Linked DNA regions of Callithrix jacchus. The protein of the gene in region 2 purifies or fractionates together with the protein of the main gene of each other region. This does not show direct contact. Links are inferred from orthologs where the notes say so. Each region holds a gene or a part of one and is shown on either strand. Other genes may lie near its edges.

Region 1 (4,120 bases), on a different chromosome or scaffold from region 2:
ACTTTTTTTTAAAAGAAAAGGTTGCCCAACCTTCTCCAACTCCTGTCCTCAAGCTGTCTTCCCACCTCAGCCTCCTGAGAAGCCTGGGACTACAGACAAGCACCATCACAACCAGCTTCTCGTAACTTTTTAGGTTTAACAAATACTATGCCCCTGTTACAGGCCTGTTTCCGATGGTACTTACACATTGGTCTTAAATGTATGCAGCTGGGGCACTGGGTTTTTGGCTCGCGTTTCTAGCACTTCCATGTAATGAGGCTTCTTCTGAGTCGCATGAGAAAGGCCTGTCAAGTTCATGGCACCTGTGCTTTCTTCTGACTGTTGTTCACCCTGGTCTGCAATGCTGATCCCCTGTAACCTGTCAATAAACAGGCTGTCAGAGCTGCTGGAAGTATCTTCTGCTTGACTTGAAACACGATGCTGCGGGTGATGCTCACTAGCTTCAGACGAAGGCGGCGCTCCGTCTCTGTTGCTGGAAGCTGGGCCCTTACTCACTGCGTACTCAACCTCTGGAGTCTCTTCATCACCTTCATGAGTAGGACGTCCAAGTCCCTGGTTTCGTGAGGTTGTTTCAAATGACTTGATGTTATCTACAGAGGAACAGCCAGGAGCTAGTGATGAAGCATCAAGTATCTGGTCAGAATTCCGGGCCTTATCTGTATCGACATCCACCTCTGCAGTGGCTTCTTGCCTTAGCTGACAGTCTAAACTAACAGCATGAAACAGTTCACTTTTTCTTCTAACTTCTTCACGTTCTGCAATGGCAGCTTTCAGTTTGGCAACAGAGTCAAAAATCTTTTTACCTTTGTCGGGCAATTTGCAAATGAATTTTCTGTCAAATGGAAAAGAATACATATATATTACAGTCACGTTTTTAAACTTGACATACAACATTAAAGAAGCTAAGCATTAACTTGTAAGAAAAAAAGCCAATTTTTTAAATCGAATATCTGATTTCTAACTTCTCCAAAATGGGAATAAAACAAATAAATGGCCATTATCCAAAGAGCCCAAAAAACACGGGAATGCAGGAACAGAGAATATATGCCTCATTTGTCTCAGCAAATTAGAATTTCAGCAAAAGTACTTCAAGCATATAATAATCACGTAAGGCATTCCAAGAACCAGCAGTCATTAAATCTCCAAAATGTGAGGATGGGGTTGAGTGTGGGGATGGGTCTATTAGGTCAAAACTACTTTCATCATAATACCAAGATGTTATTTCCCTCTCACTTCCTCACATGGGTACAGTGGAGTTTTCCAGAGGCTACATGACATGTGATGACATCATTGTTCTAGAATAGAATGTGTGCTTGTGTATACTTACGTTTTAAAGACTTCAGCTGCATTTCTGATAAGTAAATGAATTTTGCTAGATATAACACATAAATAATTCCATGGGATGTCAATAATTCTTAAAGTATAAAGGAGTCCCAAGACCAGAAAGTTAATTCACTGCCATAGATTGAAAACCTGTTCTCACAAGGTCAAAACACCTGTCTGGACCCCAATCAAATATTTATCTCTTTTGTTGGATAACAGAGTTCCTTTTCTGATTCCCTTTTCTTTATAGAATCAATGGAGAGAAAAAATTAAACCCTGGGTCCTCTGTTCTTTTCGACAATGCATTCATTCTCACAACTGACAACACTACAGCTGAAATTCCTATGTTTTCTATATTTTTCCAATTTCTCTCTTTCTTGAGCCTCATGACTGCTTCTCCAGCTTTTGTTTGGTTTTCACTTAACCAAATGTCTGTCCTGCTCTCCTCTCACCTCCGCACACCCTAAGTAAAATCAACCTTGGATCTATTCCTCTCCCCGAATTTTCCTATTTTTTGCTAGTGGTGTTCCATATACATAGGAAACTTCGGCCATCTCTGCCAACTACATGTAAATTAGTCCATGCTTAAAGTTTTCCCAATTCCTTCCTAGTTCACTTCCTTACAACTCTCTCGTGGGGAGCCTCTCTGCAAGCATCCTTCTACTGTCCTCTGCTTTTTATTCCTTCAAACCATCTTTTGCACGAAGCTGCTGAACACAACTGCCCAAAACACAAAATCACTTTTATCACGTGGCTCCCCTACTAAAATCCTTTAAATCAGCCAGCTGAATGAGGGTCGAACTTTCCCGGCCTAATAAACAGCTCCTCACATCCCACTCTCCCCATTTCCTCCGGTTCCTGTAACCATAGAATCCAGACATGAAGCTGACAATCCGTTATGGGTTAGGGGCGCGGGCGGCCAAAGGCTTAGGATGCAGACTCTTGCTTCACGGAGCCAACAGAGTGCCCGGGAAAACACCACCAGCGAGGAGCTACTAACTCACTGCAGCGCTAAGGAGCCGTCCAGGACGAGTCGTCCTCGCAGGCAAACGTGCCTGGCCAGGGAGAGGGACGGCTCTGCGGCAGCAAGTCCTCTGTCCACTCGCCCGGAGGACTGAGGCGAATGTGACTGAGGCAAGGTCACCTTCCAGGGAAGTGAATGGAGTGAGGGAGGGAAGGGGAGCGCCCAGGGAGCTCCAGCTGAAGGAGCCTGGCAGTGACTCCGCGGGACCGCAGCTTACACGTTGCGCAAAAGTCTCTCCTGGCGCTTCAACATTTCCCGCAGCTCCACCAAACTCCGCTGCCCCAGGTCCTCGGGTGCTTGGGGCTCGAAGCCGCGGGGCAGCGAGGACATTCTGCGCAGGCTGAGGCTGGCGTGGCGGCGGGCACTCGGCTTCCTCAACAGGCCCCGCAGCTAGCGCCGGATCCGCGGCCGCCGGTGACTCCGGGGCATGAGCGGGAGTCGCCATTTTCCCGGAAGAACGGGCTCTTCTTCGAGCCGAATCGAGCTTTATTGAAATGCCGGAAACAAACACGGACCGGGAGAAAGGGGGCGTCCGGGGGGAAATCGCTGCAGGGCGGAAGTGACGTCATGACGCCGGCGCCGCGGCTTGGCGCCCTTTCCCCTCGTGTGAGCGTTTCACCCGTCGTCAGCGGCGCATCGGTTTGTACAGAAAGTGTTCTGCGCCAGGGTGACCTCACCAAACACGACGTGTTAGTCACCAAATAGCCACGTCCTCTGTTATAGTTGGAGTTTACGGAGTGGGGAAGTCAGGGGGACGATCAAATAATAATACAATAGTAACGTTGCGTTGGACACCTCGGAGGGTGTCTGCAAAGCGAGATTCCAGTGGAAACCTTAAGGATGAGCTGGCCATTAATGACGTAGAGGAGAGTGTGAGACAAGGCGTGGGAGACTCCGGCCTGCGTGTGGTGCCTCCTAGCCCGGCTTCGTGACGTCCGGAAATGTTCAGGTTGGACGGTCCCTTCTTGGGGCGCAACGGCGTTTGCAGCGGGACATTCAGGTGCTTCTGGCTGCCAGGCACTCCCAGATCATTGCAACAATCCGGAACGTCTCCCCCAACATACATGTCCAAGGCCCACAAGAGGTGAGGAGTGGGAGCGGCTGTACAAACCGCCTGACGACCTTTTCTAATTTCCTACTTTGCCAATAGAAAAACAGCGTCACGAAAACGGAAATAAATATTCCCAGGGCACAAAACCAGCGACAGCACCCGATTTCAAACCCAAAAGCCCAGCTGCTTTTCCAACGTACCAGTCTGAAAATCCCCGTCTTCACTTAGACCTATTTCCAAATGTGTAAAATTGTTGAAAAGACTTTACTTTACAGCTGTTGAGAAGAAGGCAGGTTCGTATCGGACCCAGCTTTTACCTTCTTGTAGTTCCTCTACCAGAGGTGCATCCCAGTAGAAAGAGTTGGAAGACATGCAGTCCCAGCAGATGTCACTTGGGAGGTTTGAAAACCCCATAACCTCCAAAACCACGCCCTCCCCCAATTTTTTTGATATAGAAGATTGAAGGTGTGTCAATCCTATGTAAGATGCTACATAAACACAAACAGCTCCGTCCCAAAGAGACAGACGATCTAGGTAAAAATCCAGAGCTATTCCAGGGAGCACAATTGCAACCATTTCTCTATTCCCAAAATCTGGTCCATTTTGATCAGACTCGTTAACATATCAAAACAAGTTTTCTCAGTATAAGACTTCCTGTAAAGGGCACTTAAACCTGCTCCAGCATTGACTGAATGAGAAATAGTTGAGTAAGTTCCTTGAAT
Region 2 (4,329 bases):
GGGGGCAGGGTATCTCTCTGTTGCCCAGAGAGTACAGTGCCACTGGAGTATAGTGGCGCGATCATAGTTCACTGCATCCCTTAAGCGATTCACCCACCTCGGCCTCCCTAATAGCTGGGACTACAGACGCGGCACGCCCCGCTTTCTTTTTTTTTTTTTTTTTTTTGAGATGGAGTCTTGCTCTGTCGCCCAGGCTGGAGTGAAGTGGAGTGATCTTGGCTCACTGCAACCTCTGCCTTCTGGGTTCAAGCGATTCTGCTTCACCCTCCCCAGTAGCTGGGACTACAGGTGCGTGACACCACACCGGGCTAATATTTGAATTTTTGGTAGAGGTGGGGTTTCGCCATATTGGCCAGGCTGGTCTCGAACTCCTGACCTCGTGATCCACCCGCCTCAGCCTCCCCAAGTGCTAGGATTACAGGTATGAGCCACCGCGCCGAGCCGATTTCTATAGTTTTTAGAGGTGAGGTCTCACCGTGTTATCCAGGCAGGTCTTGAACTCTGGAGCTCAAGCCATCCTCCAGGCTCGGCCTCCCAAAGTGCTGGAATTACGGGCCTGAGCCACCGTGCCCAGCCCAATTCATTTTTTATTAAATCAACAGAGTTTACAATATGACCATCTAAATAAACATTGTTGACTAATGAGCCGAGATTGTTGACTAATAAGCTATGATTATTTCCTTTATTGTACAGCCTTTTGCCCTTTCTCCAGTGTTGAAAACAGCATCACTTTTCATTTGCTTTTTCTTTTTTTTTTTTGAGACAGAGTTTCGCTCACTCGCCCAAACTGGAGTGCAGTGTCGCAACCTCCACCTCCCGGGTTCAAGCGATTTTCTTGCTTCAGCCTCCCGAGTAGCTGGGATCACAGGCGCCCACCACCACGCCCGCCTAATTTTTGTATTTGTAGTAGAGATGGGGTTTCACCCCGTTGGCCAGGCTGGTCTCAAACTCCTGACCTCAGGTGATCCGCCCGCCTCGCCCTCCCAAAGTGCTGCGATAACAGGCGTGAGCCACCGCGCTCAGCCGTCATTTGCTTAATTTTCTACGCATCATCCAAATGTTCCAACAGACGTGTGGTTAAAGCCTTCGAATATCATTGTCCGCATGCTCAGAAGTATCAAATATCCCCCAGAAATCAATACAGTTTTAAAAGTTTAAGTCAGTAAAGGAAATTGGACCGGGCGCGTTCTGAGGCGCCAATCCTGCTTTCCATCAGCAGGCGTTCCTGCATCTCATCTGACCCTCTCTGCCCAGAAAGGCTTAGGGGCTGCCCCAGGACGTCCGCGCGGTGAGGCGCATTGGAGAAGAGAGAGAGAGAGTGCGGCGGACCCCAATCCCGCGCAGGGTACCCCTCGGCGGCTAGGAGTTTCCCAGACCTCACCAACCCGTCCTCTAGTCGCGCCGGGCCAGGCCCACCCTCGGCGCCCCGCCCACCCCTCGGTGCCCCGCCTGAGGCCACGCCCCTTCTGCTGCCGTTCTCCGCGCTTCCGCTTCCGGCAGCGTGGGTGGTGGCGGGCCGTGCGGTGATGGCGGCTGGCGGCAGCGATCCGCGGGCTGGCGACGTAGAGGAGGACGCCTCACAGCTCATCTTTCCTAAAGGTTGGGCTCGGGCTGCCAGACTCTCCCGCGCCACTTTGCGTGGTCCCCGCAGGCCTGGCGTTAGCCACGCTTCGCCCGAGGCCTGGCCTCAGCGGCGGCTCAGGCAAACCCTGGCGCGTTGTAGTGCTGGGGAGGAAACATGGAACCGGGAGGGGCCGCCTGGCCAAGTGGGTTATTTTATGTGATAGCAGACTGCGAAGTTCCGGCGGGTTGTGTTAAAGATAAATAAAGCCGGACACTCAGGTGGTAAGGTCAGATTTTAAACTAACTGTTGCGCTATGGAAAAGAGTCCAGCGTGAAGCGAACTCAGCTTCGATTAGTACAAAACCTCTGGGCGTTTTAAGGGAGAATTAGGGAATAGGTTGTGGTGAGCGGGGGCTCAGGGGAGTCAGGGAAGTGAGATATTTAAAAAACCGGGAAGACGAGGCTTGGTCCGTGTGAACCCACAGTGGTTTGTTTACTGGCGCACCTATCGAAGTTAGGCCCCTACCTTCCCCCTGAGACGGAGAGACAGGGCTGTCTTCAGCTGTTGGGTAGAACAAAAAATTATTTTGGTAGCCTTCAGTTTTCTCAGGCACGCACTTTAAGCGGTTTATGGTGATCAAGGGGAGGCTATTCTTAGGGATGAGGTCTTCAGCTCAAGAACTTTACAGTATATTGTATACAGCTATCTTACTCTTTATTGATTGTTTGAGATAGGGTCTCGCCCTGTTGTCTAGGCTGTAATGTAGTGGCAAGATCAGAGCTCACTGCAGCCTCAACCTCTCTGGCTCAAGCGATCCTCTCACCTCAGCCTCCCAAGTAGCTAGGACCACAGGTACATGCCCCCATACCTGGCTCATTAAATTTTTTTTTTTTTTGTAAAGGCAAGGTCTCACTATGTTTCCCAGGCTGGTCTCAAACTCCTGAGCTCAAGTGAGCCACAGCACCTGACCTATCTTATTCTTTTTTTATTTTTCCCCCACCCGAGACGGAGTTTCGCTCTTGTTACCCAGGCTGGAGTGCAATGGCGCGATCTCGGCTCACCGCAAGCTCCGCTTCCTGGGTTCAGGCAATTCTCCTGCCTCAGCCTCCGGAGTAGCTGGGATTACAGGCATGCACTATCATGCCCAGCTAATTTTTTGTATTTAGTAGAGACGGGGTTTCACCATGTTGACCAGGATCTCGATCTCTCGACCTCGTGATCCCACCCGTCTAGGCCTCCCAAAGTGCTGGGATTACAGGCTTGAGCCACCACGCCCGGCCCTAACTTACTCTTTTTTTTTTTGGAGACAGTCTCGCTCTGTTGACCAGGCTGGAGTGCAATGGTGCGATCTCGGTTCACTGCAACCTCCACCTCCTGAGTTCAAGCATATCTCCTTCCTTAGCCTCTGGAGTAGCTGGGATTTCAGGTGCGCCCAAGCCCTGCTAATTTTTGTATTTTTAATAGAGATGGGATTTCACCATGTTGGCCAGGCTGATCTTGAACTCCTGACCTCGTGATCCGCCCACCTTGGCCTCCTAAAGTGCTGGGAGTACAGGTGTGACCTACTGCGCGCACCCTCTTACTCTTTTAATGGGCTAGGTAGTACTTATTGATTGTACCTTAATGCTGTTTTTTTGTTGTTAGAGATAGAAGTTACTTCCAGTGTTTGGAGGGTTTTCTGGGTTTTTTTGATTTTTTGTTTTTTGTTTTTTTTTTGAGACCGAGTTTCGCTGTTGTTACCCAGACTGGAGTGCAATGGCACGATCTCGGCTTACCGCAACCTCCGCCTTCTGGGTTCAAGCAATTCTCCTGCCTCACCCTCCCGAGTAGCTGGGATTACAGGCACGCGCCACCATGCCCAGCTAATTTTTGTATTTTTAGTAGAGACGGGGTTTCACCTTGTTGACCAGCATGGTCTCGGTCTCTTTTTTTTTGAGACGGAGTTTCGCTCTTGTTACCCAGGCTGGAGTGCAATGGCGCAATCTCGGCTCACCGCAACCTCCGCCCCCTGGGTTCAGGCAATTCTGCCTCAGCCTCCCGAGTAGCTGGGACTACAGGCACGCGCCACCGTGCCCAGCCAATTTTTTGTAATTTTTAGTAGAGATGGGGTTTCACCATGTTGACCAGGATGGTCTCGATCTCTTGACCTCGTGATCCACCCGCCTCGGCCTCCCAAAGTGCTGGCATTATAGGCGCGAGCCACCGCGCCGGGCCGGTTTTCTGTTTTTTTTTTTAAGAGACAGGGTCTCACTGTGTTTCCCAGGTTGGACTGCAGTGGTTATTCACAGGCTCAGTAATAGCACAGCCTCAGACTCCTGGGCTTAAGCAGTTCTTCCGCAGCCTCCCAATAGCTGGGACTGGTGGTGCCCAGCCTCCTTTCAGTTTTTTATTTATGGAATGAGGGTCATATGTTTCCATAGGTAGATTTATGAAAGTTTTTGGCATGATAGAAATAATAGTTTCTTTTTTAAGGGATAACTAAAAAGATGCTTTTCTTAATTTGATGATACACAGATTTTTTTGTACTTGGGTTTTGTGTAGGTACTTTTTGCTTAGTGAGTTTATTACACTCTGCATATAATTTTTGATGAAATCAGGTAGTGTCTGGTACACATGAAAATTTTGCTGAATTGGATACAGTTGACTGTGAACAACACAGGCTTGAACTGCACGGTCCACTTATACGCAGGGCTTTTTCCAACCAAACTTGGATCAGGCTGTGAAACTGAGGATACAGAGGGCAGGCAGGCTTTTTGTATGCGAGT
Region 3 (4,192 bases), on a different chromosome or scaffold from region 2:
CCATTGGGTCATTCTCCTACAATTCCCTCATGCTATGCACGTTAAAATAAAATATCTTTTGAAGTGCCCTTTGTCGGTTGATTTTTTGAACAAACCCTCAGAGAGCAAGGGGAAGTTTCTCCTTGCCCCCCACGTGCTATATGGCAGAGGGCGAAGCGCTTTAAGTTAATGTTCTGAGCGGTCCCTCCACCCCTACCGAGGAAACACAGCAAGGAGCTTGGGACGGATTTTTTACGACGTATTTTTTTTTTACAATTCCTTTACAATCGCCCCAAAATTTTATCCACTTTCACATCCTCACGATCCAGCAGAGTGCCTAGAGTGTACACTCTAGAAATGTTTACTGAATTAAGAAACGGCTGACAGTGTGTGCAGCTAGTGTGGCCAGAAGAGCAGTTTCAAGTCCCAGGCACTCATTAGTTGTGTGATCTGGGGCAAGTCGCCTAAATATACCGAGATCCATTTCTTCACCAATGAAACAAGAACATTACTACTTCCCTTGTCTACCTACTGGCTCCTCAGGAGGCTTTACTTAATGAGCGGCACTGTAAAACGCTGTACACGTCTATGTAGAGTTTTCATAGGGCTGTTGATTAGTGTGAATGGTGAAATGGAAAGAAACCTGGACTCCGCAGTCAGAAGCTGTTGGGCCGCTCGCTGACTTGATGATGGTCCGGACCCTGTACTTAATAGTTTGTAAGTCCGCTACAGGCTCGGAACCTCAAGTGTCCTCAGAAAGGGAAAGCCCAGGGTTCCCAGTCAAGGTCGCGGGGTACTAAGACGCGGGACGCTCACCCAGTCAAAGTCACACGGGTTGCCGTCTTCGCGTTGGGTAGGCAGACCGTTGCAGAGCGGCGGCAGTTTCCTCACGAGTAGGAAGGCAGCAGAGAGCAGGGCCGACAGAAGGTAGTAAGGTTGGGCCAGCCATCGTGAAAGTCGCGGCACAGAATACACCAGAGCAATTAGAGGTGCCAGGATCGCCATCTTTTTGGCCGTTAGGGCCGGGGCTCATTGGCGTTGTAGGTCTGGCCCCGCCTCCCTCACCATAGAGACTGCTATTGGGCCGTATCTCAAATGTACCGCCTCTAAATCCGGATGTAGCTCTCTGGACGCTGTGGTAGGTCAGAACCCAAATAAGAATTTAACATATTATTGGTTAGTCTAGTTGTCGCTTTATCCACCTAAGTCATTTTATTGGACTGTAGCAAACGAAGCTAGCAGAAGAATCTAATAAGGTTAAATAGCACTTTCTAAACGTTCTCATAAGGCGACGGAAGTAGTTGCTGAAACAAGGTAAGCGGTGCCTGAGGCATCCAATGACAAGAGGCTCCTTGAGAAAGAGGGCGGTACCCTTAAAAGCATTGTCCAATGAAAATTACCAACGCCAGACATCTAGGCAGCGCCGAGGCGGAGGGGACGATGGAGAATTTCACGGCACTGTTCGGGGCTCAGGCTGACCCACCACCGCCCCCAACCGCACTCGGCTTCGGACCAGGAAAGCCTCCACCCCCGCCACCACCTCCTCCAGGCGGGGGTCCCGGCACGGCCCCGCCTCCCACCGCAGCCACGGCCCCTCCCGGCGCGGACAAGTCAGGAGCTGGCTGTGGCCCTTTCTACCTAATGAGGGAACTGCCAGGTGAGTACACGGCCTTGCCAAAGCCAGCCAATCAAATCTTAGAGAGGAGGTGATGGGCGTGGTTCTCAGCCGGCTAGCGGAGGTGCCAGGTAACCTAAGAAAGACAGACTCGGACTGTGGAGCCATAAGTCGGAAGCGCTGTTAGGATTCACAAGCAGAGGGATGACTTGAATTCAACCAAACGGCGGGGGAGAGGGACGGTGAATCTCCGTGACACTGGTTTATGTCTCCCTAAAAAAATGATCCAGGACTGGGCGCGGTGACTGATGCCTGTAATCCCAGCACTCTGGGAGGCGGAGGCGGGCGAATCACCTAAGGTCAGGAGTTCGAGACCAGCCTAGTCAACATGATGAAACCCCCCCTCTCTACTAAAAATACAAAAATTAGCCGGGCATGGTTGCGTATACGTTTAATCCCAGCTACTCAGGTGGCTCAGGCGGGAGAATCGCTTTGAACCCGGGAGGCGGAGGTTGCGGTGAGCCTAGATTGCTCCACTGCACTCCAGCCTGGGCGACAGAACGAGACTCCCTCTCAAAAACAAAAGATCCAGGAGATCCAGGGTTTCAGTTAGGAACTTGAGAGGCCTGATTTAATATCTTTGGGGACCCAAAGTTTTAATTTTGCTGTTGGTTTGGGGCAAGTTGCCATTATTCCTTCTAAGGTTCCGGCGTTTCCTGGTCTGTTCTAAGAAGGGATAAGAATCAAACCAAACTCTTTTCATTCAAAAATTAATTTTGTTGAGTTCCTATGTACCAAGCACTTTTGTAAATGCTTGAGATACAGTTATGAACAAGACTGACAAGATGCTTGCTTTTTTTTGGAATGTACATGTCAGTGGAGGAGGCATTGTAAACAAGATTATATCAGAGAGTGATTAATTCTAGGAGGAGAAAACATGATAAAGAATTGAAAGGGGCCAGGCGTGTTGCTCACACCTGTAATCCCAGCGCTTTGGGAGGCCCAGGCAGGAGGATCCTTTGAGTCCAGGAGTTTGAGACCAGCCTGGGCAACATGTCGAGACCCAGTCTCTACAAAACATACAAGAATAGCCAGGCACGGCAGTCCGTGCCTATAGCCCCAGCTATTGGGGAGGCTAAGGGAGGAGATTCTCTTGAACTCAGGAGGTTTCGGCTGCAGTGAACCAAGATAGTGCCACTGCACTCCAGCCTGGGCAACAGATGAGACCATCTCTCAAAAGAAAAAAATGTTGAGGGCAGAACTACTTTAGTTAGAGTGACCAGAGATGCTCTTTCCATGTAGCTAACATTTGAACTAAAATATAAGCATAGACAAAGGGCCAGCTATGGATGGATAGGAGGGAGAGATAATACTAGATACAAGTAATGAGGTCAGAAACCCTGATGTGAGAAAACGCTTAGAATATCTGAGGGACAGAAAATCAGTTGGACTCCAGTGAAGTGAACGAAAGGAAAGAGTCTTAGGAGAGAGAGACAAAAGGAAAGGTGGGAGAGTTAGGCAGAGGCCTTTATAAAGTAATAAAGGCATTTAGATGGCAAATACCAAAGGAAGCCGTTTAAAAAAAAATTTATAGAGGCAAAGTCTCACTGTGTCACCCAGGCTGGACTGCAGTGGCATAATCATAGCTCACTGTGACCTCGAATTCCTGGGCTCATGCTGTCCTCCCAGCTCAGCCTCCCAGGTAGCTAGGGCGACAGGCATGTGCCACCATGGTTGGCTAACTTAAAATTTTTCTGTAGAGATAGGGTCTTACTGTATTGTCCAAGCTGGTCTTGAACTCCTGGCCAACAGCAGTCCTCCTGCCTTGCCCTTCCAAAGTGCTGGGATTATAGACGTGAGCCACTGTGCCCAGCCAAGGAAAGCCATTTTAACACAGGAACTTGGTCAGATTTACTTATTTATAATCATTCAAGCAGCCACATGACAAATAGAAAGTGGGGAAGTCAGAGGTTACCACTCATAGTCCAGGAAAGATGATGGTTCAAACCAGGGCATAGCAGGGCATAGAGAAGTAAATGGATACAGGATGTTAGAGGTAGAGCTGATGGGGATGAAAAGTTGAATATAGGGCCAGGCGCTGTGGCTCATGCCAGTAATCCCAACACTTTGGGAGGCCGAGGTGGGAGAATATCTTGAGCCCGAAAGTTTGAGACAAGCCTGGGAAACATAATGAGACACATCTCTACAAAAAATAAATATAATTTAGCTAGGCATAGTGATGTGTGCCTGTAGTCTCAGCTACTTAGGCGGCTGAGGTGATAGAATTACTTGAGCCCAGGAAGTTGAGGCTGCAGTGAGCCGTGACTGCACCACTGCACTCCAGCCTGGATAATAGGGGAAGAAGTGAAGGAGAGAGTAAAGTGAAGGAATGATGTCTTCTTAAGTTTTCACCTTGAATAATTAGGTGTATGGGTATGGAGACTTGGAAGATGAGGAAGGAACAAGTTTGAAGAGGTGGAAATCAAGTTTTCTGGACATGTTAGGTCTCCAAGATGCCTTTCATTATCTCAAGTCTTATTTCCACATCATGACTTGAGGGAAATAATAACAAATATTGGTATGGTACTCTGAAGTTCA

What was found. The genes of interacting proteins can lie anywhere in the genome.
Region 1: the proteins of POLR2D (region 2) and POLR2M purify together in Homo sapiens (affinity purification with mass spectrometry; 3 studies listed by BioGRID and IntAct, counting the BioPlex papers as one, with this or other methods). This does not show direct contact. The link is inferred for Callithrix jacchus from reciprocal best matches to the Homo sapiens genes POLR2D and POLR2M.
Region 3: the proteins of POLR2D (region 2) and MED19 purify together in Homo sapiens (affinity purification with mass spectrometry; 4 studies listed by BioGRID and IntAct, with this or other methods). This does not show direct contact. The link is inferred for Callithrix jacchus from reciprocal best matches to the Homo sapiens genes POLR2D and MED19.

The regions. Positions count from the first base shown.
Region 1 is NC_133509.1:3,678,502-3,682,621, reverse strand, and holds the start of POLR2M (protein GRINL1A), read right to left. Parts: upstream 2,807-4,120; 5' UTR 2,678-2,806; coding exon 2,565-2,677; intron 833-2,564; coding exon 185-832; intron 1-184.
Region 2 is NC_133507.1:36,558,510-36,562,838, forward strand, and holds the start of POLR2D (DNA-directed RNA polymerase II subunit RPB4), read left to right. Parts: upstream 1-1,503; 5' UTR 1,504-1,526; coding exon 1,527-1,599; intron 1,600-4,329. UniProt on the Homo sapiens protein: Core component of RNA polymerase II (Pol II), a DNA-dependent RNA polymerase which synthesizes mRNA precursors and many functional non-coding RNAs using the four ribonucleoside triphosphates as substrates.
Region 3 is NC_133511.1:115,289,773-115,293,964, reverse strand, and holds the start of MED19 (mediator of RNA polymerase II transcription subunit 19), read left to right. Parts: upstream 1-1,386; 5' UTR 1,387-1,419; coding exon 1,420-1,636; intron 1,637-4,192. Other genes in the region: TMX2 (thioredoxin-related transmembrane protein 2), read right to left, coding at 796-984. UniProt on the Homo sapiens protein: Component of the Mediator complex, a coactivator involved in the regulated transcription of nearly all RNA polymerase II-dependent genes.